Linked DNA regions of Solanum lycopersicum. The main gene of each other region encodes a partner of the protein of the gene in region 2 in a complex. Links are inferred from orthologs where the notes say so. Each region holds a gene or a part of one and is shown on either strand. Other genes may lie near its edges. The genes, in order: protein PLASTID TRANSCRIPTIONALLY ACTIVE 14; hop-interacting protein THI030; thioredoxin-like fold domain-containing protein MRL7, chloroplastic; protein PLASTID TRANSCRIPTIONALLY ACTIVE 7.

What was found.
Region 1: hop-interacting protein THI030 (region 2) and protein PLASTID TRANSCRIPTIONALLY ACTIVE 14 share a complex: the UniProt entries of both Arabidopsis thaliana proteins name them as parts of the transcriptionally active chromosome (TAC) complex. The link is inferred for Solanum lycopersicum from reciprocal best matches to the Arabidopsis thaliana genes PTAC12 and PTAC14.
Region 3: hop-interacting protein THI030 (region 2) and thioredoxin-like fold domain-containing protein MRL7, chloroplastic share a complex: the UniProt entries of both Arabidopsis thaliana proteins name them as parts of the transcriptionally active chromosome (TAC) complex. The link is inferred for Solanum lycopersicum from reciprocal best matches to the Arabidopsis thaliana genes PTAC12 and MRL7.
Region 4: hop-interacting protein THI030 (region 2) and protein PLASTID TRANSCRIPTIONALLY ACTIVE 7 share a complex: the UniProt entries of both Arabidopsis thaliana proteins name them as parts of the transcriptionally active chromosome (TAC) complex. The link is inferred for Solanum lycopersicum from reciprocal best matches to the Arabidopsis thaliana genes PTAC12 and PTAC7.

The regions. Positions count from the first base shown.
Region 1 is NC_090801.1:61,880,513-61,886,403, reverse strand, and holds the start of protein PLASTID TRANSCRIPTIONALLY ACTIVE 14, read left to right. Parts: upstream 1-1,919; 5' UTR 1,920-2,144; coding exon 2,145-2,213; intron 2,214-2,308; coding exon 2,309-2,527; intron 2,528-3,420; coding exon 3,421-3,558; intron 3,559-4,034; coding exon 4,035-4,160; intron 4,161-4,404; coding exon 4,405-4,533; intron 4,534-5,074; coding exon 5,075-5,164; intron 5,165-5,244; coding exon 5,245-5,395; intron 5,396-5,891. UniProt on the Arabidopsis thaliana protein: Essential for chloroplast development, especially for thylakoid formation. Involved in plastid gene expression, probably by maintaining plastid-encoded RNA polymerase (PEP) activity.
Region 2 is NC_090801.1:56,330,237-56,336,268, reverse strand, and holds the start of hop-interacting protein THI030, read left to right. Parts: upstream 1-2,656; 5' UTR 2,657-2,963; coding exon 2,964-2,997; intron 2,998-3,087; coding exon 3,088-3,155; intron 3,156-4,006; coding exon 4,007-4,675; intron 4,676-4,980; coding exon 4,981-5,093; intron 5,094-6,022; coding exon 6,023-6,032. Other genes in the region: hydroxyproline O-galactosyltransferase GALT2, read left to right, coding at 404-532, 628-801, 907-1,014, 1,109-1,312. UniProt on the Arabidopsis thaliana protein: Involved in plastid gene expression. Acidic transcriptional coactivator necessary for the transactivation of many PIFs target genes (class B genes), particularly during the regulation of hypocotyl growth.
Region 3 is NC_090801.1:60,373,187-60,379,205, reverse strand, and holds the start of thioredoxin-like fold domain-containing protein MRL7, chloroplastic, read right to left. Parts: upstream 4,203-6,019; 5' UTR 3,993-4,202; exon of another isoform or gene 3,899-3,992; coding exon of another isoform or gene 3,865-3,898; exon of another isoform or gene 3,348-3,864; 5' UTR 3,325-3,347; coding exon 2,579-3,324; intron 2,475-2,578; coding exon 2,390-2,474; intron 2,307-2,389; coding exon 2,195-2,306; intron 2,081-2,194; coding exon 1,977-2,080; 3' UTR 1,968-1,976; intron 1,894-1,967; exon of another isoform or gene 1,884-1,893; 3' UTR 1-1,883. UniProt on the Arabidopsis thaliana protein: Plays an essential role in early steps of chloroplast development. Involved in the regulation of plastid gene expression. May positively regulate plastid-encoded RNA polymerase (PEP) activity through binding to FSD3 and CITRX/TRXZ.
Region 4 is NC_090802.1:49,585,704-49,591,757, reverse strand, and holds the start of protein PLASTID TRANSCRIPTIONALLY ACTIVE 7, read left to right. Parts: upstream 1-2,352; 5' UTR 2,353-2,452; coding exon 2,453-2,506; intron 2,507-2,626; coding exon 2,627-2,680; intron 2,681-2,763; coding exon 2,764-2,838; intron 2,839-6,054. UniProt on the Arabidopsis thaliana protein: Essential for chloroplast development, especially for thylakoid formation. Involved in plastid gene expression, probably by maintaining plastid-encoded RNA polymerase (PEP) activity.

The DNA.
Region 1 (5,891 bases), about 5.6 Mb from region 2:
TGGTGGTGTAGGTGATGCTAAATTGTTTTAAGCAGCAAGACAAGATAGCAGAAATATGCTGCAAAAGTCTTCATATATTTTCTCTAAATGTTTGAGTAGTAGTAACTTATCTAATCCGAAGATCAAGATAATGGAACAAGATTTTGAATCTTGTGGATAAGGGGCAACACTTAGAGATGGGGGTTAATACAGAAGTATGCATAGGTGGTTTGAAAATATGTATAGGAACCAGTAGAAGAGTATGCTTATTATGAATCCTTGCTCGTTGTACACAAAGCTTGGAATTTGATAAGACTTGTGTTTTTTATATAGCCTTCTCTTAGTTTCTGTGCATATTTGTGTTCTTAAAAGTTTGCACATTAAGCAAAAGATGGACTGGACATTCTCTGGTTTTAAGTTGAATTAGTTGTACAATTTTTTTTTTGGATAACTAGCTTCACTCGATGTAATTCAATGTTTGGAGAGATGTGCATTTCTGATGCAGGCTTAAGTTCCTTGTGTCTTTAGCTCCTTCATTTCACACTGAATTGAGACGTCAGTGGTTGTTTTTGTCATCTAGACACATGGGACCTATCTATGTCGAAGTTGTCACTGGTACCTCTTTGATGTGTGTTAAAGCTGGTTTCTGACCTTTTTCTTTTTTCTATTTTGCATGGACAAGATCGATATTTTATCAGTTTCTTGATCATGGAGCTGCGACTCAATGGACATCACTTAGCTTATGTTAATTCTGTTGTAGTTTTAAGAACTTTGAAATGTTGTTAATGCACTTGTATTTGTTGCTTACTTGAATTTCCTTTTGCTTGTGGTAGATTTTGCGTAAAATGTGGTAGGAGGGCTACTTGTTTGTCTGAAGCTACGTGATTTATGAGTCAATTTAGTTCTGAAAGCACTGGTGCATCTGTTGTTATAGGACCTCTAATTCCTTTTGACTTTTTTTCTCTTCCTTTTGTACAGATATTGTCTTTGGGGGATGTGGCCTAGTTGATGAAGTTGGAGTAAACTCCATGGGAGACTAAGGTTCAAATCTTAAATAGAGGCAACACATTTGGGTGATCTCTTCCTTCTGCCTAAACCCTGGTGGTAGAGTTATCCGATACCAACAGTACTGAAAGGATGCAGGTACCTAGCGGAATAGTCAAGGTGCATACGACGACCTAATCATGCTCAGTAAGAAGAGAGCAATAAGCATCTCAAGACGAGATCTCCATAGTGTCAATCACTTGAAGTTTGTGATATCTTGTTTCTCTTTGGGGTTCAGGAAGTGCTGCCAACAATGCTATCACACATTATTAATCAGTCTTGGGACATGAACATCCTAACTCAGTCATATGCATAGCTGGAGATGAGAGTTACTTTATTGTAATGTTGACTAAGATTGTATCCAGTACATGGTGCTGTTGTTGGCCTTTCGATTAAATTAGTTGACAGGTTGAAGGTCTTTTCTATGTATAACAAAACATCCAAATGTTTTTCCTGGTACCTTACGTGGCTTTCTAGTTGCTAATCTCATGTCATATGGTTATAATTTTGTATATGATAGTATCATATGACAGGTGCAAATGGTCAAAATTCAGATAATGGTCCTCTGCATGTTGTCCAACATTCATATATTTGTCGATCAACTAAGTTTTGGTCCCAAATTAGTTGCATCAATCCTTTGATTTTTTCAGATGATTTATAATTACTTGATTCGAACAATACTTAACTAGATTTAAGTAAAGTTTTATTTGTAAATTCAAGCCTAATAATAAAAATGATATAATATAAAGTAATGTTTGATTTAAAATTATGATTTTATTATAATTATTTCGACGTCATTGATCCCTCTTACCGCCAACATTGATAATTTTTACACAGTGAAAACAAAGTCAGACACATTTTTAAATATTTATTTTGCTAAATTTCTTTATCACACCGTTTCCATAAAGATAAAAGAATATATATAAAAATAAATTAATAAATTAAGTAGCAGAATTGTGGAATAAAATAGGGAAAAAAAATCAAAAAATTTAAACCCAGGAAAAACCCCTGGGCACTCTCTCACTGACAGTAGAGTGGATAACGTTTCAAGAACCCAAATTCCATCGATGTATGAATCTTCTTTACTGAAATTCCACTAAATTTTTAGCTCACTCTCAAGAATGGTTTCTTCCACCATTCTAATTCAGCAACCGACGAACTTCTTCCACCAGCCAGAGCTTCACCATCAGGTTAGGCCTTCGCCCCCACAAAACCAAATCATTCAAGAATGAATCTTTTTGCTTTTTGATTTTATGGGTGTTTGATTTTTTAATAATTGAACCAGCTATGGAGAGGTCTGCAGCATGGATGTGTTGCATCATTGCAGAAACAACCTATTTTGGTATGTAATAGTAACAAGAGAAACAGACCTTTGAGAGTTTCTTCAAGTGCTAATGGTGCTGTTACTTCTTCCACTTTGGAGGCCTATGATTCTTCTCCGTCTCCTTCTGCATTTCCTCTTTTTACACCCCCTTCTCAACCCCAAGATACTCCCGCTTCTCAGGTATTTTCTACTTGCCCCTTCTGTTTCATGTTCTTGAAGTTCAAGTTTAGTTTAATCACATCTTGTTACTTTCTGTGTGATAAGTGCTGTTTTCTTTTGGTAAGCTCACTGTATAAGTGCAATATGCAACACTTTTATGTACTCTTTTTTGTAGTTAGAGTTTTGGCACTGCATACCTTTTCCTCTTCAGTCATGGTTTCTTTTACTTTAATAGAATGCCAAACAAACAATGGACAACAATAAGCACTAGTCTCTCAATAAATTGAAGGAAGTGACAGCCAGGCAGTTGATGTTTGGAAAAGATAGGAGTTACACTTTGAAGATCGATGGAATTGTTCTTATGAATTGGTTTTGTTCCTCATTCAGATTTTCTTCACAAATTATTTGGTTCTAGGTCAGGTCCCATATAAATTTTTGGTGATTACTGTGTTAGAAATACAAAATGTTCTACATCAGGTATAGGGGAATCATATACCTAAAGCATTCTCTACTACTCCTTCACTGCATAAATTTTTCTTTAATATGTCGGAATTTCTAACCAATTAGTAAGTCCGTTCTCACACGTGTGAGTCTGCATTGGTTTCAGATATATAGAATGCCTAACATCTGGTGTTTAGGGGCATCCAAAGGGTTATGATGATTTTGAGCTACTCCCCAATTACCTTAAGATTTTCACTTAGATGCTCATGTTCGTTCTCACGTTCTCATGCATAGATATCCCATTTCTATTGTTACATAGTCAAACTAATGGTTGGAATCCCTCTACTTTCTCGGTCTTACATCCTTTGAGAAGCTGATGAACATATATTTTCCTATTTGATTATTTCAAATTATCCTTATTTTCTCCTGTTCTAATTGTTGATGATGGTGGTATAACATTTTCATATGAACAGTTGGAACTGGCAGATCCTGATTTCTACAAAATAGGATATGTTAGAAGTTTTCGAGCCTACGGGATTGAATTCAGGGAGGGACCAGATGGGTATGGAGTGTTTGCTTCCAAAGACGTGGAACCTCTCCGTCGAGCTAGGGTGAGCACTACCTTACAACATGTTTGTATGTACAATGTTTTCCTCCTCCTGATGAAATGTTTAACTATATCAATTACCATCGGAAGCAGTGTCAAATTTACTGCTCCATCAATGTTTTACTATACCAAAAGCTGGACTTCATCCCATCAATTCCACCATGAAATTGGTGGGGGTAGGAAAAAAGGACATGGGAGAATTGTAATACCTTTAAACTACCTTCCTTCTCTCTGAGATAAGTATCTTTAGTTGATTTCCCTCATTTGCTTTTTAACCTTGATAAGTTATATTTGCAGTGGCTAGGCACTACTAATTCTTCTCCTGCTGTGGTGTATTTTATCATGTCCTACATAGTTTTGACTGTCTAATTCATTTGGCATTAGCTTGGCTGTTTGATTGCTCTTTTCGCACTGATTATCTTCACACCTTTTCGTTATCACTAAAATTCAGTGAATCATGAGGTTTTGTTTGTAATGCAGGTAATAATGGAAATTCCTTTAGAACTTATGTTAACCATAAGCAAAAAGCTTCCTTGGATGTTTTTTCCAGATATTATACCTGTAGGACATCCAGTATTCGACATTATCAATTCAACCAATCCCGAGGTAAAAGGATGCATTTTCCTTTTAAATATTTTAATTTTCCTACTAAATATTATTTAATGGAACACATGGGAGAATATTTATCCACATTTTCTTTGATTGGATAAAAATAAAAATTAGACGTCTTACCTTTTCCCTAATGGTACACATGAGAGGATTTGTTTTTATGCTCTAAATTTTTTCATTTTCTTTTTGGTTTTCTAAGATTTCTTGTGACTTTTTAATATTGATTACCTTCTTATGGCAGACAGATTCGGACTTGAGGTTGGCGTGCCTTCTTTTATATGCTTTTGATTGCAAGGACAACTTTTGGCAGCTATACGGAGACTTCTTGCCTAGTGCTGATGAATGCACTAGCTTTCTTCTAGCTACCGAGGTCTGGATATGAGTATCATCCAAATTTCAGTGCATTCAATTAATGTAATATTTTGTGGAAGATTCTATAGAAAATGCTATGCATTCACAAAATTATTCTGCACTTTGTTATGGTGTTCTGCTGAGGTTCAAGTTTGAGTAACTCGAAATGTGAATTAGAAAAGCTTTTGTGATATTCACACTGTTATGTGACCTTTGCTATTAGTGGGTTCTAATTTATAACAAAAGTTTCTTCGACTGAATCTTGTTTTTTTCCATGACTGTTGAAGCTCTCTTCTGTGTATTTAAGTCTATTTTGGAGTTACCATTTTGGTTTTCAATCTGAAAATTAATATGTGGTTGAAGCTTCTTCATTTCTGTGCTTTGCATTTTCATTAGTCAGCTGGGCTGGTTTTGATTAGAAAGATTAGTTGCAAACTGAAAAATGGAATGGCTGCATTTGGCATATTCATGGTGGATTAATTTCTAGAATTTCAGTGCTAGAGTAAATAAATAATTGTTTTGTGTTCCTGATGCTCTTCTTAATGCTTTCTGTGGTGTAGGAGGATCTTTTGGAGTTGCAAGACGAGAAGCTTGCTTCTACCATGAGAGAACAGCAAAATCGAGCACTTGAGTTTTGGGAGAAAAACTGGGTACAGACAATCTTGTTAAATCTCTTTCCCCCAGATTCCTGCTCACTAACATTGGCCTTTGACTTTCTTTATTTGTTTAGCATTCTGCAGTACCTCTCAAAATTAAGCGTCTTGCTCAGGATCCTGAGAGATTTATTTGGGCAATGAGTATAGCACAATCTCGATGCATCAGCATGCAAACAAGAATTGGTTCACTGGTTCAAGAAGCAAATATGTTGGTACCTTATGCTGGTGAGCTTCTTTATTGTATTTCTGTCCAAAATTTCAATAGTGAAATCGGGAGCTTTAATTAGTTTATTCACACAATGCAGCACCCTACTTTTAACAGATTGAACTTGGCTGAGATATTTTAAGATAGTCTGAATGGCATCCTTTATTTAATTATTGTTTAGATTGGTCTTGAAGTGATGCTCATGTGTACTTTAAGATGTTAAGTGGATCCAAAAGAGCAGATCCATGACTGCAGTAACAAGTTAGTCACTGAAAAATATGTTCAGTGTTCAGTTTACTGAAACCATGCCCCCAATGAGAATATTGTGTATTCAATTTTTTCCATTTTTTAAAAATAGCTGTGCTTTCTCCCTCTGCAGTCTGCATTATGAAACTCGACGCAGTTACTGTTACAGGTGGAAAATATTTGTCCACCCTAATGATATTTAATACTACTTTCATCACATTTTGGTAAGAAATATATGGTTCATAGAGGGTTTTCTTTAGTCTAATATAT
Region 2 (6,032 bases):
GATCCTTCAATCTTCATGGCTATCCCTGGAGCACAATGCACGCTTGTTACATTACATAGTTTATCATCTTTTGGGAGGTATTAACTTGCCGTACTATTCACTTGGAAGCATTCTTGCCATTTCTATCCTAGGATTTCTGAGGCGCTTTCATTTGAATATCTCATATATAAATGATGGTCAAACGAAAGTAGTGTTGCTTTCAGGTAAAGGAGAAAATTTATGAACAGGAAAAAGGTTGTGCTATTGTCCTCAGTACTACTTTATGCTGTTCTGCAAACACCGCTCTTTAGTTTTCCTTCACCAACTTATTTGTTTGTCGAACTTGCGCTATTATCTCTGCCAATAGCCAGTTTGGAATTCAACCTCAACAGATGTACTTATGTATTAACATTTAACTGTGTAGAATCCACGAAAGGAGCTAAATGCTATATTGAAGAAGGAAGCAGATTACTTTGGGGACATTGTGATTGTCCCCTTTATCGATAGATACGAGCTAGTGGTTCTTAAAACTATTGCCATCTGCAAGTATGGGGTGAGTTCTGCACTTCGCTCCATCTTCCTCTACTTCTCTAGACTGCTCAGTTGTGTCCTAATTTCTATCGACATGGCCCACAATATCTGTTGCAGGTTCAGAATGTGACAGCTGCATATATCATGAAATGTGACGATGATACTTTCATTAGGATAGATGCAGTCCTTAGAGAAATTCAACGTGTCCCTCCTAGACGATCTCTTTACATGGGCAATCTTAATCTCTTGCATAGACCACTTCGAACAGGAAAGTGGGCAGTAACTTTTGAGGTACAGAGATTTATATGATAATAGAGTTATTCAAAATCATGGCTACTGTTTGTTGATTTCTTATAGACACTAAAGCTAATTTGAAAATATTGACTTGTGCAACAGGAGTGGCCAGAAGATGTATACCCCCCTTATGCTAATGGACCAGGATATATAATTACAAGTGATATTGCCAAACATATCACTTCTCAATATCGGAACCAAAGCTTGCGGGTTTGTAACAGTTTATTTCTTTCGTTTTCTTCTTAATCATAAACCTGTTCAAAGTGTAGACTCTGAAATACGCATTCCCCCATCAAATTGACAGATCTTCAAAATGGAGGATGTGAGCATGGGTATGTGGGTTGAGAGTTACAACAGTTCAACTCCTGTACAGTACTCTCACAACTGGAAGTTCTGTCAATATGGGTGTATGGAAGACTATTTCACGGCTCATTATCAGTCTCCACGACAGATGTTCTGTCTGTGGAACAATTTACTCAAGGGTAAGGCCCATTGCTGCAACTTCTAGAGTGATATGACCATTTTTCGCTGCTTGATGGACGCACAATTTGAATTGCATCATCTTCTTCCTGCCTTGAGATCTTACGCGAAGAAATGAAGGTGTGTGTTGTTGTATCTGTTCAGATGGCTGTTTTAGCTTAACATATGATTTAACATGGAACATTGGCCATCGCGATGGATTTGTACATCCGGATTTATATACTGTGTACTAGTCATTGTATAGGATTCATGCCTCTCCGCCTTGTACCATGAAGAAACATACAGCGATTTGATATTGAGCTGAGCCTCCCCACTATCATAATTTTGGGTTGGGGCCTTCACAGTTATGTTTGTCCTTTAACGCTATATATGAAGCTTTTCTTCTGGCAATGTCAACATTACTTGCTCTTGCTCCTTCAAATTTTACATTTGATACTATTTCATTAACCCAGTACTAGTATTTTAATTTGAAATGATATACTATGAGTTCATCTTCATATTGATTGACTTTAATTAGAATGCTATAAATTATGATGATTAAATTTCACAAACATTTGTGTAACAACATATACTATATTTTCATCAGGTGGATAAATAAAATGAATGTGAATTAGTTGAATCTTTAGATGAAACTAAACAAGAAGATAGTAGAAAGCAAACTAAAATAATATGCTTAGATTGAAAGTGCATCAAAATCATATGCATATTTTAAAATTGTGTTTATTTAATTAAAATATCAATTCTCTTATTCATTCATAAACAAAGCAAAAGAGTCTAGAGTTTATTTATTTATACAAACCATGTGAAAAATTATTCATTCCAAAATATCTCATTTTGAAATATCTTTTTGGTACACAAAGAAAGAAGGGACGCGGAATGAGTAAATAATATGCTTAAATTGAAAGTGCATCAAACGATACATCCTTAATATTAATTTTTATTTATAAAATTCTCTTATTCATACATAATCAAAGTAAAAGAATTACGACTTCTGTATAAAAGTCACGTACAGCCCAAAAGATCTCATTAACTCTTTGAAGAATTAGCTATAAGATTCCTACACTTATTTTATTCCTAAGAAATAATATAGAAAAGAAAAACTATATCTGGAACCTCCGCAATAAATTGTACAAATAGTGGTTTGTTTTGAAGAGATAAGTATCAAAATCATTTCTAAATTTGGGGTAAAATATTAATTTCATTTCCGAACTATTGACAGTCTTAAAAACGTTCCTCTACTTGATCAATTGAAGTTAAATACACCATCAATCTTGCAAGATTAGTGAAATACCCCTTTAAGTTCTCATCAAGTGTAGGGTGTTTTAAACACTTCTTTCAATTTAAAGGTGTATTTCACTAATCTTGCAAGATCGGGGGTGTATTGAGCTTCAATTAGACAAGAAAATGAGTGTTCTTAAGACAGTCAATAGTACAGATATAAAACTAATAATTCACGTCAAGTTTAGAGATTGGTTTTAATGGTTCTCTCATTTTTCAATAATTTAAACCCGCGGAAATTAAAGCGAAAATTGGTGACTAGGCCGGTCTGGAAAGCCGGTCCAAATTTGTAGGACGGTTCAGGGTCACATTATCCTAACTAAAGCCCCTCCTAAAACCCAAGCAAAGGACAAAGGATAAGAGGAGTTATTTATAGCAATTTCGAGTTGCCAATTTCAGCAATGGCTTCTGTATTGTCAACTTCCTTGTATCAAGGTAACTGTGTTTTACTTGTTGCACCTTTGATTTTTGTAAAAATAATTCTTCTTCGCTTTGTAAAATTGGTTTTTTTTCTGTTATTTGCAGATAGAGGACTGAGAATTGTAGCCTCTACTGATGGATTTGTGCCAACTATTTGCTGCCCCTATCGGAAGGTGTTTTTAGATTATTATGAACTCCAACAAATCTTATTATGTTTGTTAATCACCACTGGAAGTAGAATCTTATACTCTGTGTTGTTAGATAATAAGTAAAAAGGAGCACTTTTACAAAATTGTTCGTCTCTAAGAGTTCAAATTGTTGATTTTAGGTTTATATGTGACTTTTTGTATCTTCGAGAGGAATCAATGGTTTGGGTGAGCTATAAGAGTCTAGAAGAGATTAAAATGGTTTATATAATCAATTCTATTCAAGAGAGGGATATTTTTGGGAGTTTGATATATGCTTGAGGATATGGTTAACGTATTCTAGAGTGTTAGAGCTGACGATCAGGGAAAGCTGTTTGAAGGAAATGTTTTACTTCAATGGCAAAGAGAGTTTGGTTAGATTTTAGGAGTTATTTGTAGTTTCATGGTAGTAAATTGTTTTCTGATTTTGATATGCATCAAATTTCCTTTATACAATTAATCTGTGTGCTCATCTTATAGCTGACTCTCTTTCTTATCCCTCCACATGTACACCAAGTTTACCTGCCTATGTTTACTTCTTCATTTGCTGAACTGTGTATACGTATGCATCTGCATTGAACACCAGCACATGTTGCTCTCTGTGACGGTGAAATTCATATTGTAATCGGGGAAGGAAGAAGGTTTAAATTTCTGGCAGAAATTATTCATGAATTTGCATCTTATGTTTAAGCATCTCTTGTTTAACATTATGAAGTAAAGTCTGGCAATATGTTCAACATGCATGCTCAAAGGAAGGTGCTCTATATTGTAGCAAGGTTTCTCATCATTTTTAAAAGTTTTCATTAATAGGAGTATGCATTGTGCTGGGAACCACCCAGACCTTGTTTACAGGTACTACTCCTGTTTCAATATGGAAGCTCAAATTTGTCTCCAGTAGTCCATTTCAAAAGGCTCCTTTAGCTCCTTGTATAAAGTGTGAGAACAAGGAAAAGAATCAGGGCTCTTTTGAGCAGGTGTCTGTCGAGCGTTTTCCTTATCACAGTTATATGGACTCCACTTCTGGGCAACTTGAACCAGCATCTGGAGCTCGCGCTAGTATTCCTGGGAAGGAGTACTGGCCAGAAGGCACAGCTAGTCGAGTTCAGGCCGCCAGGGCTCCTGAACCAGATGGTATTTCAACTGGAACTCCATCTTATGGAAAAGCTCCTGGAAGTAGAAGAAAGAAGTACAAGGCATCTGCTTCCTCTTCCCAGCCTTCAGAAATCAATGTAATTTCTGATGATCCTCTGGAGACTCCAGATAGTGTACCAGAAGAGCCAAAGGATCTTTCCTCAGAGTATGTCATTTATCAGCCTGAACAAGATGAAGAAGAGCTGACAGGCTATGAGCTAGATAAAAGACATGGACGGCCCCACCCATTTATTGATCCAAAGGTAAAGAAGGAAATAGAGAAGCCGCTTACTAGTGAAGAATTATGGTGGAATTGGAGAAAGCCTGAAAAGGAGCAATGGTCTAGGTGGCAGAGGCGGCGCCCTGATGTTGAAACGGTCAGTACTGAAAATATATACTGCTAAGTAGAATAAATTGTTTATGTGTGTAATCAGTGTAATTTAATTGTGCTAATCAAGATTGGATGTCAATGCTGCTCATGCTAGTTGCTTGCTCGATGCCACATTGTAAAATAGATAAATGCAAATCTAAAGTGGATAAAATGATATCTTCAGTAGAGACGCGGTGAATATTAATAATACATTTCTAACCACTTTAAACCTCCCTTGGTTCTCGAGCAGATTCAAACTTATATCATCATAACATTCTGACTTAGAGATTATTATTATTTTCCCTGGAACAGGTCTTTCTTAAAGCTATGGCAGAGACAGGACAAGTAAAGCTCTATGGTGAGCATCCTACATTGACAGAGACTGCGCTCTATAGAGCAAGGAGACATTTATATAAGGAGGAAAGGTAGAATCAGCAACTTTTTTAATAATGTTGCATCACATGTTCTATTCTTCAAGTTTTAGTCTCTTCCTTTTTCCCTTGCACTGAAATGTTAAAAGATGGACCTCACTCGTTTGGTATTAAACTTATTCATAAGCCCTTCGTCTGTCATGAATGCATGTCATAAACTATAGGCTACAGGGAACCTTGCAAAGAAAGGATAGGCAAACTGAGAGGAAGTATAAAATAAGCAAATTCCATTTCCTTAATGTCTTATTATGTGCTTGTACACTGTTGTATTAGTTCATTCTTGGGAAGCTTATTATGGTACTTATTACAAAGAGTCAAGCAACAAATATTGTGTCTTTTCTTTTTTTCATATTCGTAATGTATATTATAAATAGCATTAACATGAAAAAATTGTCAAACTTCAGTTAGATTGATGATCAACTCCATGTCCTCTCTCTTACCTTTTGCTTTATCTACTGCTTTCAAAAGCTATTGGTTCTGCAAGCTCTCTGGAGCTGGTTTTTGATGAAAAGTTAAGTCTTGACTTCTATTTTGTTTATGTTTATCTTTTACCTGTATTATCTTTATATCCGTGGTGTGGGGGCACTTTGCCTGCATCATAACTATGCTGGTCTACTATCAGCCTACATGCACATGTGGCCTAGGTAATCTTGTCCACTAAGGTTAGAATGAAGGGGATTACACCAAGTGTGTGGTTAGGATTTGTACTTGGGATCTTCAGGTTGTTACTCCCATGCCTTAACTATTAGGTCATTGCCTTGGAGACCCGTTCTGATTTTATTTTCTGAAACTTGTCCCTTGTATTGTTCCCTAATTGACAGATCTTTGAGTTGCTAAATGACTTGGCAATCTACTTTCCCCGTTCAAGATGAACCAGAATACACTTTCTATTGGAACTAAGAACTAATAAGTGGGCAATGCAGGCTACAGGCT
Region 3 (6,019 bases), about 4.0 Mb from region 2:
TTTACCACGTGAATTTCGTGATCCTGCGATGAGAGATTTATAGTATATACGTTCCAAGTTAATTAACTTGATTAATTAATAGTATAAAATATTACTGATAAAATTTTTACTTTTTCTAATCTCAATCCATTTTATCTTTTTCGATCCTTGATATAAGATGCTATTTTCATTCTCACTTAATAAATTATTAATACTTAGCATGCAATAATTTCCAACTATATAAAAGGGTATATACGCCTATTTTCGATAGCTGTGATAATCATAAAAGCAAACGACAAGAATAAATAAGTGAATGGATGTTGGAATTAAGAAAATTGAGAATGACATAGGTTGGTAAATGGGACCTCTTTTAAATTGTAAATTTTCCGTTATGACAAAATTAAAGCCTTCGTGACAACCTCTCATATTTGCCAAATGTCTGGATCGTTTTACAGTATATTCCTATCATCACAACTTAATAAATGTTACTTATAAAATTATTGATCAATTAAATGGTTTTATTTGTCCCACCATACAATAGGTTCTTCGGAAGGGCGTGGAACTTTTTCTAGATTGGTGTTCTAGCCAACTCCTTCGTTATACTTCATCTCTTTTAATTTAACAAGGTAAAATAATAATAATATACTCAGTAAATCTCACAAATGAGGTTTGAAGAGAATAAAACTTGTACAAATTTTATTACTATCACGTGGAGGTAAAAATGTTTTTAAAAGACCCTCGAATCAAGGGTAGCAAATTCAAGTACAAAGGATAAGAAAACATAACAACTAACAAGGGAAGCTGTGCAGATCCTACAAGATAAAATTTAAGAAAGTAAAGAAGCTTTTTAAATCTTGCGGTCTTAAATTACACATGTGAAGAATATACGAAAATAACTTTTAACCTTGTAGCCTTAAATATGCCATCGAAATTAAACATATGTTGAAATGGACTATGAAAGAAAGTAGAAAAAACAAAACAAATTAAAATTGAGAGAGTATCATCAAATATCTGTCACCTCCCACCACAATATCGTCAGACTTCACCCACCAAGAATTAAGTAGATAAACAAGATCACCGCATATTTAAGAGGTCAATTAGGTGAAAGTTTGTTAGTTGAGTCTATTCAGAGTTCAGGTTTTGTTAAACTGTATTATCTACAAATGGTCCTAGTTAGGTTTGATGTTGAGTGATTTAACATATGTTTAATCAGGGCATATTCCTGATAATGTGGTATCCAAAACTTTTCAAAGGAAAGCACTTTAGTGTCTGAATATAACCTAAAACAGATAAAAGCACACACAGTTAACCCATCCAATGGACATACAGTGTCTTGTTTATCTGATCTTAACTTTAATTTCTTATCTTAAGATGGAATAAAGCAAGGTATATACATTATCCATTCATATCTATCTAGGTTAGTATTAATGGAAAAAAGTTCCGTACCTAGCGTGACATACGTCTCCCCCGAAAACAATAACTCTAATTTAGTTATAGCCAGCAAGGTCAAGATACAAGTAACAGAAGATGCATGAACTTTTCTAATTAAATACAGAAAGTAATTTATAGACATCTAGGGCTAGTATGATATGTAAACAAGCAAATAGAACTAAAGTAAGATCATGCAACTGAGTGTTCTCTTTCCAACTATCCTCTTCTATATAGTAATAAATGTGGCACTAATTTAAGCACATTATAGGATATAACCTTTTTCTTCAACCTTCCACTTGCTAATTACATCAGCACCTGCAAGCATCAAGCGAGCAGTACCATGATCTCGTTTCAACCAGTCATTCTTCTAAGGTTCTGCCCTCAATTGGTCAATTGTTTTCCAGTGACAAAACGACCACAATTGGTTCCAGTTATACAGGGATAGATCCATGCTCCACTGCCTCTTTCTTAATCTGCGACGTGCTAGAAGTTCAAATATTTTTAGTGACATTAATCTATGAGCTTCAATGAAAGCCTAGACAAGTCAGCATCAGTACCTCCGTTGACTAAGACTGTTGAGATAAAGCTGCATCATCAATGCATGAAGGTTTTTTCGCATTGTAGTAAAAATATGCTATCATTTGAACCAAGTCATCAGCTGTACGAATTTCTGCACAAATTTATCCGGAGTTGCAAAGTAAACAATCATTCAACATAACAATGAATTTAGCTGAAAAGATTACAATTACTTTATCAAACTAGTGAGGGGATATATAAAGAGTACCTTTTTCCCTGTATAGTATCCTGTTTCCTCGTAAGAACAATATCTGTGGACTTTCTTTGACTTTAAGCGCATAGGCTAGATCCCTCTCAATATTAATGTCAATCTTCACAGTCTACACCAAGTAATTAGGGGAAATGTAAGATAAGAGGGTTTACTAATGCACAATGTAAGGAGAAGTGATTATGTTTCACAAACCCGAGGAGGCAAGCGCTCTTTGGCACTCCAATACACCTTGGCTGCTTTCTCCAGCTCCTTAAGAGCTTTCCAGTTGTCACTAGCCCTGTGCAATTAGCAATTGTCTCAGAGAACATAAAAGACTTGCATATTGCTTATAGAATATATCCTTTAGGACTTCAATTTGTAAACAAAACAAGATCCACTTGCCGATTGTATCTCTCAAAAACAAGTACAATGAGGGGACTGGGATGAAAAGCGAAGCTCTCCCACTCAAGACAATTGATTTCCTTCACCCAGCAATCATCAATCTCCCCCTCCCAATCGATCTCAACTCCATCTTCTCCTATAACATTTTTTATTGGATGCTTGTCAAAATACTCTGATGCTCTAATTCCCCATCCAACGTCTGCATCCAGAGGCCAATTTGGATCCTCCTCCTCAATGATCATTTTCTTTTCTTTCTTATCCCTACTGCTGTCATCTTCATCATCACTACTTTCATCAGACTCAGTGTCATCATCAACCCTATCTTTGAGGATATTCTCGGTATCTTTCATCATATCAGAGTTCTGCTCTCGGATAGAGGCAAATGTCTTTTCTAATGAATCACGAACAAAATCCTCAACTGCAGCTGCTTCGCTCCTGCGACCACGCCTTGGCTTTTTAGGGATTGTTGATGGGAAGATCTTGGCAGAATCTTTGTCTTCGTTATGAGTTACTTTACTTTCCCGGGACCTTATAGCTTTTCTAGACCTTGAACCAGAGTTATTCTTAGGATCAGACACATGTTCCTCTTCAGACTTTTTTGAAGTGGCAAAGCAAGTCAAACGTTTCAAAGGAGGCGGCAATAGGAAGTTAGAAAAAGAGCAAGAACTACAATGTTGCCCTGCTTTGAGTGCAGAGAGTGATGAAATAGCACAAAAGTTAAGATTTAATGCAGAATGGATGACCATCTTCCCTCGCTTAACTACTTCGCCTGGAAAATCAAAATCTCTATTAGGGATAACTCCTAATATAAAAAACCTGTCGATAACACCAATCAAAATTAAGAACAGATTTTATCAAACTCCTTTCTACAAAACACAAAATAGAAAACATCCACTCCATATTCTTATGTACATAACTAAAAGACAAACAGAAAAAGACTAGCATAACATTCAAAATGTAGTTAAACAAAGTCAACTGTAGAAGCCATAACATTGATGTTGAATTGTTGAGCACAGTACTACTAGCCCACTTTTACAAAAATGTATTGAACTAAGTCAGCATTGTCACCCACCGACACTAAATAGTAGTATAGATGGTGGTACTCCACATGGACTGGCTTAACATCCTAAGTCTGCTTCTGGCTACAGTTAAAAGGTTACCTATTTTGAAGCATAGAGGATAAAAGTCTAATGAGCAAATAATCAAACAGGTTGTGTGCATAAGTTACCAGACTGTCGATACAGTACAAGTGCAACCAACAGTGCATTAATTATGTTTATAACTTGATGATTACAACAATGGCAAACAGCAGAGCTAAAGGTTAGTGAATCATAGAATCAAAGTTTATAGCAATAATAAATAATCCGTTCGCAAGTACTTTGTTACCTTTCTTAAAAATACAACAAAGGACTACCTGAGAATGAAGAAGCTAAATCTCAAGTTCCGTTTGTCCAGTCCCTACTTGTTCTAATCCTATAAGAAATATTTCAACTTTATTTTGAAGGATGGGAGGGCAGAGCAAATGAATAAAAACAACAGCCAATATTTATTTTAAGTTGAAACTTCATAAAAAATATTAAATATTTTTAATGACATGAGGCGAAAATATTTCTAAACTTTATCCAAATGAATACCATAACCCAATATTGTCTCGTAAAACACCTACCTTTGCTCCAAACTTAGGTTTATTTTTTATTTTACTTGAGAGGGGAAAAAATTGTTTAGGGTGATTTCTAGCCTAGCTTTTATTGGTCTTTGGCCTAGAATATTTTTGGGATATTTAATGAAAGTTGAGTAATTAGTTTTATTATATAGCTAAGTTGGTATTTTGACAATTATATTTTAAAGGGAAAAGGGTCAAATATACCCCTAAACTATTAGAAAAGGTTTAGATATACCCTCCATTTAAAGTTTGGTTCACTGATACCTCTTTTGGTCCAAATATGTTCTTAAGTTTGGCCGCTAGGCTAATGGAGAGGGTTGAAAATTCTGGGGTGATAAAAATATCGTAGGTGATTTTTTTTATTTGTCCTTTGTTGGATAAAGCTATTAACGCAATACCTATATTTGGTAGAAAATAACGTCTCTGTGAAATTTAATTGAATTATAGTATGCAAACTAACTTGATAAGAAGAAAAGTTTAACATTGACAAATGAAGTGAAACATTACATATGAATATGATGAATCAGGAATAGTAGTACAGTATCACTTAAGGTGGACAGTATTATTTTGTTATTGATGAGCTTTATGTAACAATTGTTGAGCCACAAGTAACAAGTCAGGACTCAATCTAAACATCAAAATACAAAATTCAATCTTATCAAGAGCTCCATCACCATTCATATCTCCTTCTCTAATCATGTTCTTCAATTCTTCATCACTAAAATCTTGCAATCCCATCAGCTTAGAGTTCCTCTTTAAGCTATCAATTGTGATCACGCCTTTCTCACCATCCATTAACATCCGATAACCTTTGCATAGCTCGTTGATCAGTCCCTCTCCGCATAGCTTTATCGCCATAATTGGCAGAAAATCTTGAAACTCTATATGTACCATCTTTGTTTTACCTGTAGTTCAACTTCTATCACAAATATTGCTTGTTAATGACATAAATTAAAGTGTGATTCATAAGGAAGTTTTCTATGTCCCGTTTTCTAGACTAGTCAGACGAGCTTACGGACTTGTCTATTATTTTCTTAGAACTTGCCTTGCTTGTTGGAAATTTTGTTTTTGGACCAAGTCAGCCTTTTCATTCGTCAAAATGCCTTACAATGGATTTTCAAGGAAACTAATGATGCTCGGTTGGTGCTAAGGAATTCATCTTTCAATTTTATTTTATTTTCACTCAATTATGATAGCAAAGGTGAACCGTCACTTTGTTTATTAAATTCTTGTACTATTATTTTTTCTTCTCCGAAGATGATAAAAATCCTTTATGTTTGAAATTTGAATAGAATATGTGGTCAAACCACGGCTTTGCCCTTTTATGTTTGTATTAACAATATAATTATGATTAGTTTGTTAGTTATGTTAGTTAGAGTGTTAGTTGGATGTCACATCAAGTTAGTTAGATTTTTGAAAGTTAGTTAGTCACACATTTTGTATTTCATATCTTTTGTATTTGTTGGATATGTGATTACAATTCTCTTGTATATAAATGAGAATCAATACATGAAGATAGTAGTTTTGCATCTTCTACAATTCAACACATACGATGCCTCCTCCTCCTCCTTCTTCTTCTTCTTCTTCTTCCTAAATCGATTATTATGGTTCCTTTCTGTTTTGGTGTAAATCACCATTATTGATCAGTTTAATATGGTATCAGAGCAAGGCTGTTCTTGCTACTTTTGATTTGAATTTGTTGTTGATTCTTCTTGTTTAATTGTTTTTCCTGTGATCCAGTCGATCCTTCATCATGACAAGACCTGAAAGTGCTCCTT
Region 4 (6,054 bases), on a different chromosome or scaffold from region 2:
TTGATAATAACATAGTTACTGTACTTGTACATCAAACACTCATTTGATCAAGAAAAAAAAAAGATGACCAATTGATGCGTTAAAAAATAGAAAATTTTCACATATAGCCATTTAAAAATAGTCTTATTACTTTTTATAGCTATAATTTGATAATTACAATTTGTAGCTACATGCTATAGGAAAGAGAGAGGTGAGGAAGACTGGGAGAGAGAGGGGGAAAATAGTGGGAGAAAGGTGAACCATGTATATGTAAATCGATTAGATAATTGTGTATTATACATATGCATTTGTATATATGGCAAGCGAGATTGGGAGAGGGAGGAGGGAGGCGAACAAGATTGGGAGAAGGAGGAGAGAGGCGAGCGAGAGAGGGCAGAGAGTGGGAGAGAGGTGAATTGTATATGCATATATATTAAATAATTGTATATTATACATATCTATTTGTATTTTTTGGCGAATTATACATATACAAATGTGACTAATACAAATTCAAAGTCAACTCACGTAATTAATGTACAATATTAATCACGAGTGATAATTATAGTAAATTATAGTTATGATGAGTAACTAAATACTTGATATACACTCCTAACACACATACAATATACATTTTAGATGATGGTTCCTCTTATATACATATATATTGGACTTTTATTTTTTAAACTCATCTACAAGTACGATTATAATTGTATACTTTTTTCTTTCTCAAAATAAGTGTTGTTTTGATTCTTTTTAGTTTTTGTGCTTATTAAAAAAATAGTATTTACCAAATTACCCTTATTTATTACTTTATCCGTTTCAAAAAGAATGGTTTCATTTTTTTAGTCTATTTTTAAAAAAAAATCTTGCTTTTTTTAGTTACATTTTAATTTCTATTTTTCACGTGACATGTTTAAGACCATAAAATTAAAGGACACTTTAATTTAGGATCACACGATTCAATTTTTTTTTTCTTAAACTCCGTGTCAAGTCAAACAAGTTTATCCTTTTTGAAACGAAGAGAGTAGTTTATTAAAAATCGAGCAAGATTAAAAGAGCAACTTTCACATATAGCAAATAAAAAATTCATATTTGTATGCTATAACAAAGTTTGCATAATTGTGTTCCATAGCAAACATATAAAATGTATAATTCGTTATACATATACCGTTGAAGCAAATTGTATAAAACGAAGTGTATAAAACAAGAAAGAGAAAGACACTTGGGCAGAGAACTGTATAAAAACGAAATGTATAAAACGAATTGCATTATTATAAGTGTATAGAACGATCATAAACAATTTGAATTTGTATAAAACGAGAAAGAGAGAAAGACAAAAGAGACTTGACAAGGAATATACAATTGAATCGAATTGTATAAAAAGAGAAAGAGAGAAATTATATACAATTTGAAAATTGTATAAAACGAGAAAGAGAGAAAGGCAAAAGAAACTGGGCAGGGGAGTATTTTTATTGTATAATTATAAGTGTATAGGACGAAAATACACGTACTTGCATGTGTATATACAATTTTCTCACACTTTATACAAACAGAAATGCAATTTATACATTTCGCTTCTGTTTGTATAAGTGAGAAAGGCGAGGGTGGCGAGTGAAATTTGGGAGAGTGGCGAGCGAGATCTGGAAGAGGGGAGAGAGGGAAACAAAAATATATGTATTTATACAATTTTCTCTGCTTTATACAATTAGAAACAATTTTTATACATTTGTGTTTGTATAAAAAGTGAGGAAGCGAGCGAGAGATTGTTAGGAGAGTGGCGAGCGAGATACTTAGGAGAGAGGCGCCTGACAATTTTTTGCAAACGTTTGCTATGGAGTACAATTAAATTAAACCATAGCTACTCCGTTTATTTTAGGTTATTAGTTTGCTATTATATATAATTTTCTCATATTAAAAAACATATTTTTAATATAAGGTGTATTTTTTTAATACTCACTTCGTTCCATTTTATGTGGCATTTTTGGCCCGGCACGGAGTTTAAGAAATTAATGAAAACTTTGAATTGTTTATCAAATCGAAGTAGACTCACTTTTCTCTTTCCTCAAACGTTTTAGAGTAGTACTATTTAAAATTAAGTAAAACCAACAAGAATAAAAAAGAATTTGTATCTGTAAATACTTACCATGTAAAAAAATATGATATTTTTTTATGGACCGACCAAAAAAGAAAATAATGTCGCATTTTGGGACAGAGGGAGTAATTAATAACTGAGACGGAGGAAGTATTGCAAAAAGAGGGCTTGTAGGATGTTATATTTGCGAAACTGCTCTAAAATTACGAAAATCAAGAAACAAATATGAATAACAAAGGCATAATGGAACATTTTTAAAAACATCAGGGTCTAACTGCCAATAAATTAACTTGCAAAGTTTGAAAAAAGAAACAGTAGGATATCATTTGCGTTATCCCCTTTTATCAGAGGGAGAAGAACACAATCGAAGGGCGAAAAACAATGGCAGCATCAACCCTGACTTTCAGTAGCTTTTCAACACTACAAACTTTCCCCGTAAGCTCCTCGTTCTATTTTTATCCTGTTTTATATTCGCCGGGATCTTCGCCGGTTTCCAGTTTGACTCTCCGTTCTTAATTTGTGAATCCGGAGAATGATAATTTGTCTTCAATGCAGAGAATTGCAGCACTTGAAAATAAAAAACGCGTGAACTTGTGTATTCGGGCGCAGGTGACAGTTCTTCGTAGCCGTCGCTATCTATTTTCAGCTGTGATTTTTTTTTTTGCACAAGTGTTTGTAACTTTTGTTTTTAGTTTGGTGTACAGAGTGCGTCGAATTCTAAAAATGAAGGCCGTGGAGAAAGGCGAATATGGAGGCGAAGAAAATTGGTAAGTTAAGGAACTCTGATTCGTGCTTTTTCCTGCTCGTTTCATTCTGTTTGTTTTAATGTTTATTTTTCGATGTGCACCATTGAATTTACCGGAATTAGATATAAGAGTAGGATGTTTCGTACGTATTGTGCTTGCCTTGTATGGGCTATAGTTGAAAGGATCTAAGCTATATGCACAATCGATTTTTGTTGTCAGTTTCACTGATTTTGGCAGGTTACTTACATCAAGTCAGGCTTACTATAGAATCATGGGCATAGACAATTGTTTATAGTTGGCTTTTAAGTGAGTAGATTTGCTTAAATATTCTTTACACCGTGGGTATATTTGGTGTAACTCAAGTGAAAACTATATTTGTGGTAGACATATTAGACTATGCTTGATATATTATTGTAGGCTGATAATACTTTTCTTCATCTTTGCTGTTGTTTTCGTTTCCAAGTTTGAACTTATATTTCTTTAAGTCATTTTGGATGCCTTGATTTGAACGATGAATTTCTTGGTTAATTAGTTTTTGAATTCTTAGAATTGTTACTTGAGATTGATTGTATCGTCTTTAGAAGAGGGATGATATCCACATTTGATCTGAATCAGACCCTTTTACCCATTTTATGTGCCATATCAAGCTAGCCATCTTTCCTTTTTGCTTGGATTTTATGTTTTTATTAACTACAAACCACTGTAGGCAAAGTGATAGATATTGAAACCTAACAGATCTCCCACATCAGGGGTTCAAGCTTTCTGTCAGTACATCACTTCTCTCTGGATGATAATGCAAAACCTAACCCACTAGAAATTGAAGGTAGGGGAAATGATGATTTCACTTATTGCATTTGTGTGTTGATCTTGTTTGGTGGACCCTGCAAGTAGATAATACCAAGTTTGGAGAGTGTACTGTTATCCTGACTAGTTGTATGTCCAAATGATTTAGGCTGAACACTAGATCCTGAGTATCTGTGGCTCGAGATGTCATAATTAAGGCTTCTGATTCAATAGGGGCTTTGTATGTATGCGGCTCAGTTCTGACTGGGTTCTTTTTAATAGTTGATCATGTCCATGCTCCGATATTCTGGTTTTGTGGTTGCTGCAAAGGCAAAATGTTTTACCATCTGTATATCATTTTTGAGCAGTAATCTGAATTTAAGTACATGTCATTCCTTGGTAGATGGTTCTTTCTCGTGTTTTTACCTGCTATTAGGTTTTCGTATGAGGCCCCTAAGTAAAGAGTGAAAGCTAGCATATTCCTCATAGTTTAAGATTTTATTTGTTATTTCTTGATCTGTGCATGTCATCCTTGCCTATAGGCATGCTAATCTTCTTTATGTCATTCCAGTTTTATTTGTTATTTCCTGGTTGTTCATAGAATAATGATATTTTTAAGGGGTCCTTTTGCTGATGGTATAGGAACAATTGATCTCAGTAAAAATCTTGCGTTGGTCCATAGGATAATATAGCGTATGGTCAACCATATACACAAAAAATTATCGCTTCATAAATAAAATGCAACATTTGGTTGGCAGTACTAAATGATACCTGAATTAAGTTATGCATGACTTTAATATTATTTATGCTTGATAGAATGTAAAATAATAGCACATGTAGTAGCAATGTAGAGATTAAACTATTTAAAGATAAATTGCCCTTTTAGACTAAGTAACTCATTTGTGACAATCTTTTCTTTACTAATAATCACTGCATAACAATTCTTTCATTATTGATCACATCATAAAGGATTCTTGCATTATAATCCTTACTAACCAATATGTGAACCAAACGTCCCCAAACTTTTTTACCCATATTTGTCAAGGTTGGGTTCTTGAGACAAACTTGTAGTTGTTTCAGCCTTTGCTAAAATGTTCTTTTTGTCCATCAAGCTTTATTGCACAACTTTAGGGTTTGTTATGTTTTCTTTTCCTCCACAAATTAGCCTTCATCTCTTGTTGTTTCTCACTTCATATAGTGAATCATCTCTTGTGGATCCACTAATATTTGGTGATCTTCTATGGTCTGACTAGGAATAGAGTGTATTTAACCTTGAAGGCATGCTTTGATGGTGAAAAGCTGACTTTATTGCCTAATCAAACATCTTTATAGTTCTTGAATAGAGGATTTGAGTTGATGAAAAAAGGGGATAGCTCAGAGAAAGTTATGGCAGAAATAGAAATAGATTTTTTCTTATGTTTGAAAACCTGAGTAACATATCTTATATCTTAGCTTTGTAGTAATAACACTGAGCTATTACTAATCCGTGAAACTAACTCCAAAAGTTAACAGCTAGCTTAGTGTCACGGACTTTTTGATTCGGACTAAGTTCCGTGCGGCACTAGACGGTTTACTCACGACTCTTGCACGTTCTTGCAAACTCTAGTAAGCCTAAAACTCAGATCGCTAAGAAAATAAGAAGTAAGACAGAACTTTGGAAGAAGGAACTTCTATTACTTGAAAATAATTGGATGCTTTACAAGTAAAGTAATCTACTATTTATACTACTCTAATGCTGCCTAAGAGTTAGTAAATAAACTATACAAGTTCCTAAGACTATGCCTACAAGACAAGCTTCCAAGTCTTCCAAAAAGGACTCCTAGATGCTCCTAGTCTGCCCCATGATCTCCACAAGCCTCTCAAAGACTTGTAACTTCTGTAACAGCCGCCCCACTAACTGTTGTAACAGCTGAAACTGCTGCCTCTTCAGCTGCTGCAGGCCTCCTTGGCTGCTGACCTGCGTGGTCAGCCTGCTCCCCTGCGCCTGCTGCGCCTGCTGGCTGCCTCGTTGGGTGGCGTTCGGCCTGAATGGATGGCGGGACGTCACAATCTCCCCCACCCCATGATGCGACGACCGCGACGCACTGCTGCAAGAACTCCTGAATTTTGCCTTTGAACTGCCACAAGTCTTCGTACTTCTCCCATGTGGCTTCCTCCGGAGTTTGTCCCTTCCAATGTACGAGAAACATGGCACTGGCCTGTTGTCCTCGTTTCCGCTTGGCTTGGTAATCTATGATAGCTTCAATCTCACGATCATGCGAGGCAGTAACGGTGATAGGGGCCCGTTGTGATTTGTTCCGGCTGGGATCGTCCTTGTCCTCATGATAAGGCTTAAGGACGCTGGCATGAAAGACCGGGTGGATTTTGAAGTGTGGAGGTAACTCCAATCTGTATGAAATCTTACCCACCTTGGCAACAATTTTGAACGGACCCTTATATTTCCGCACCAGGTTG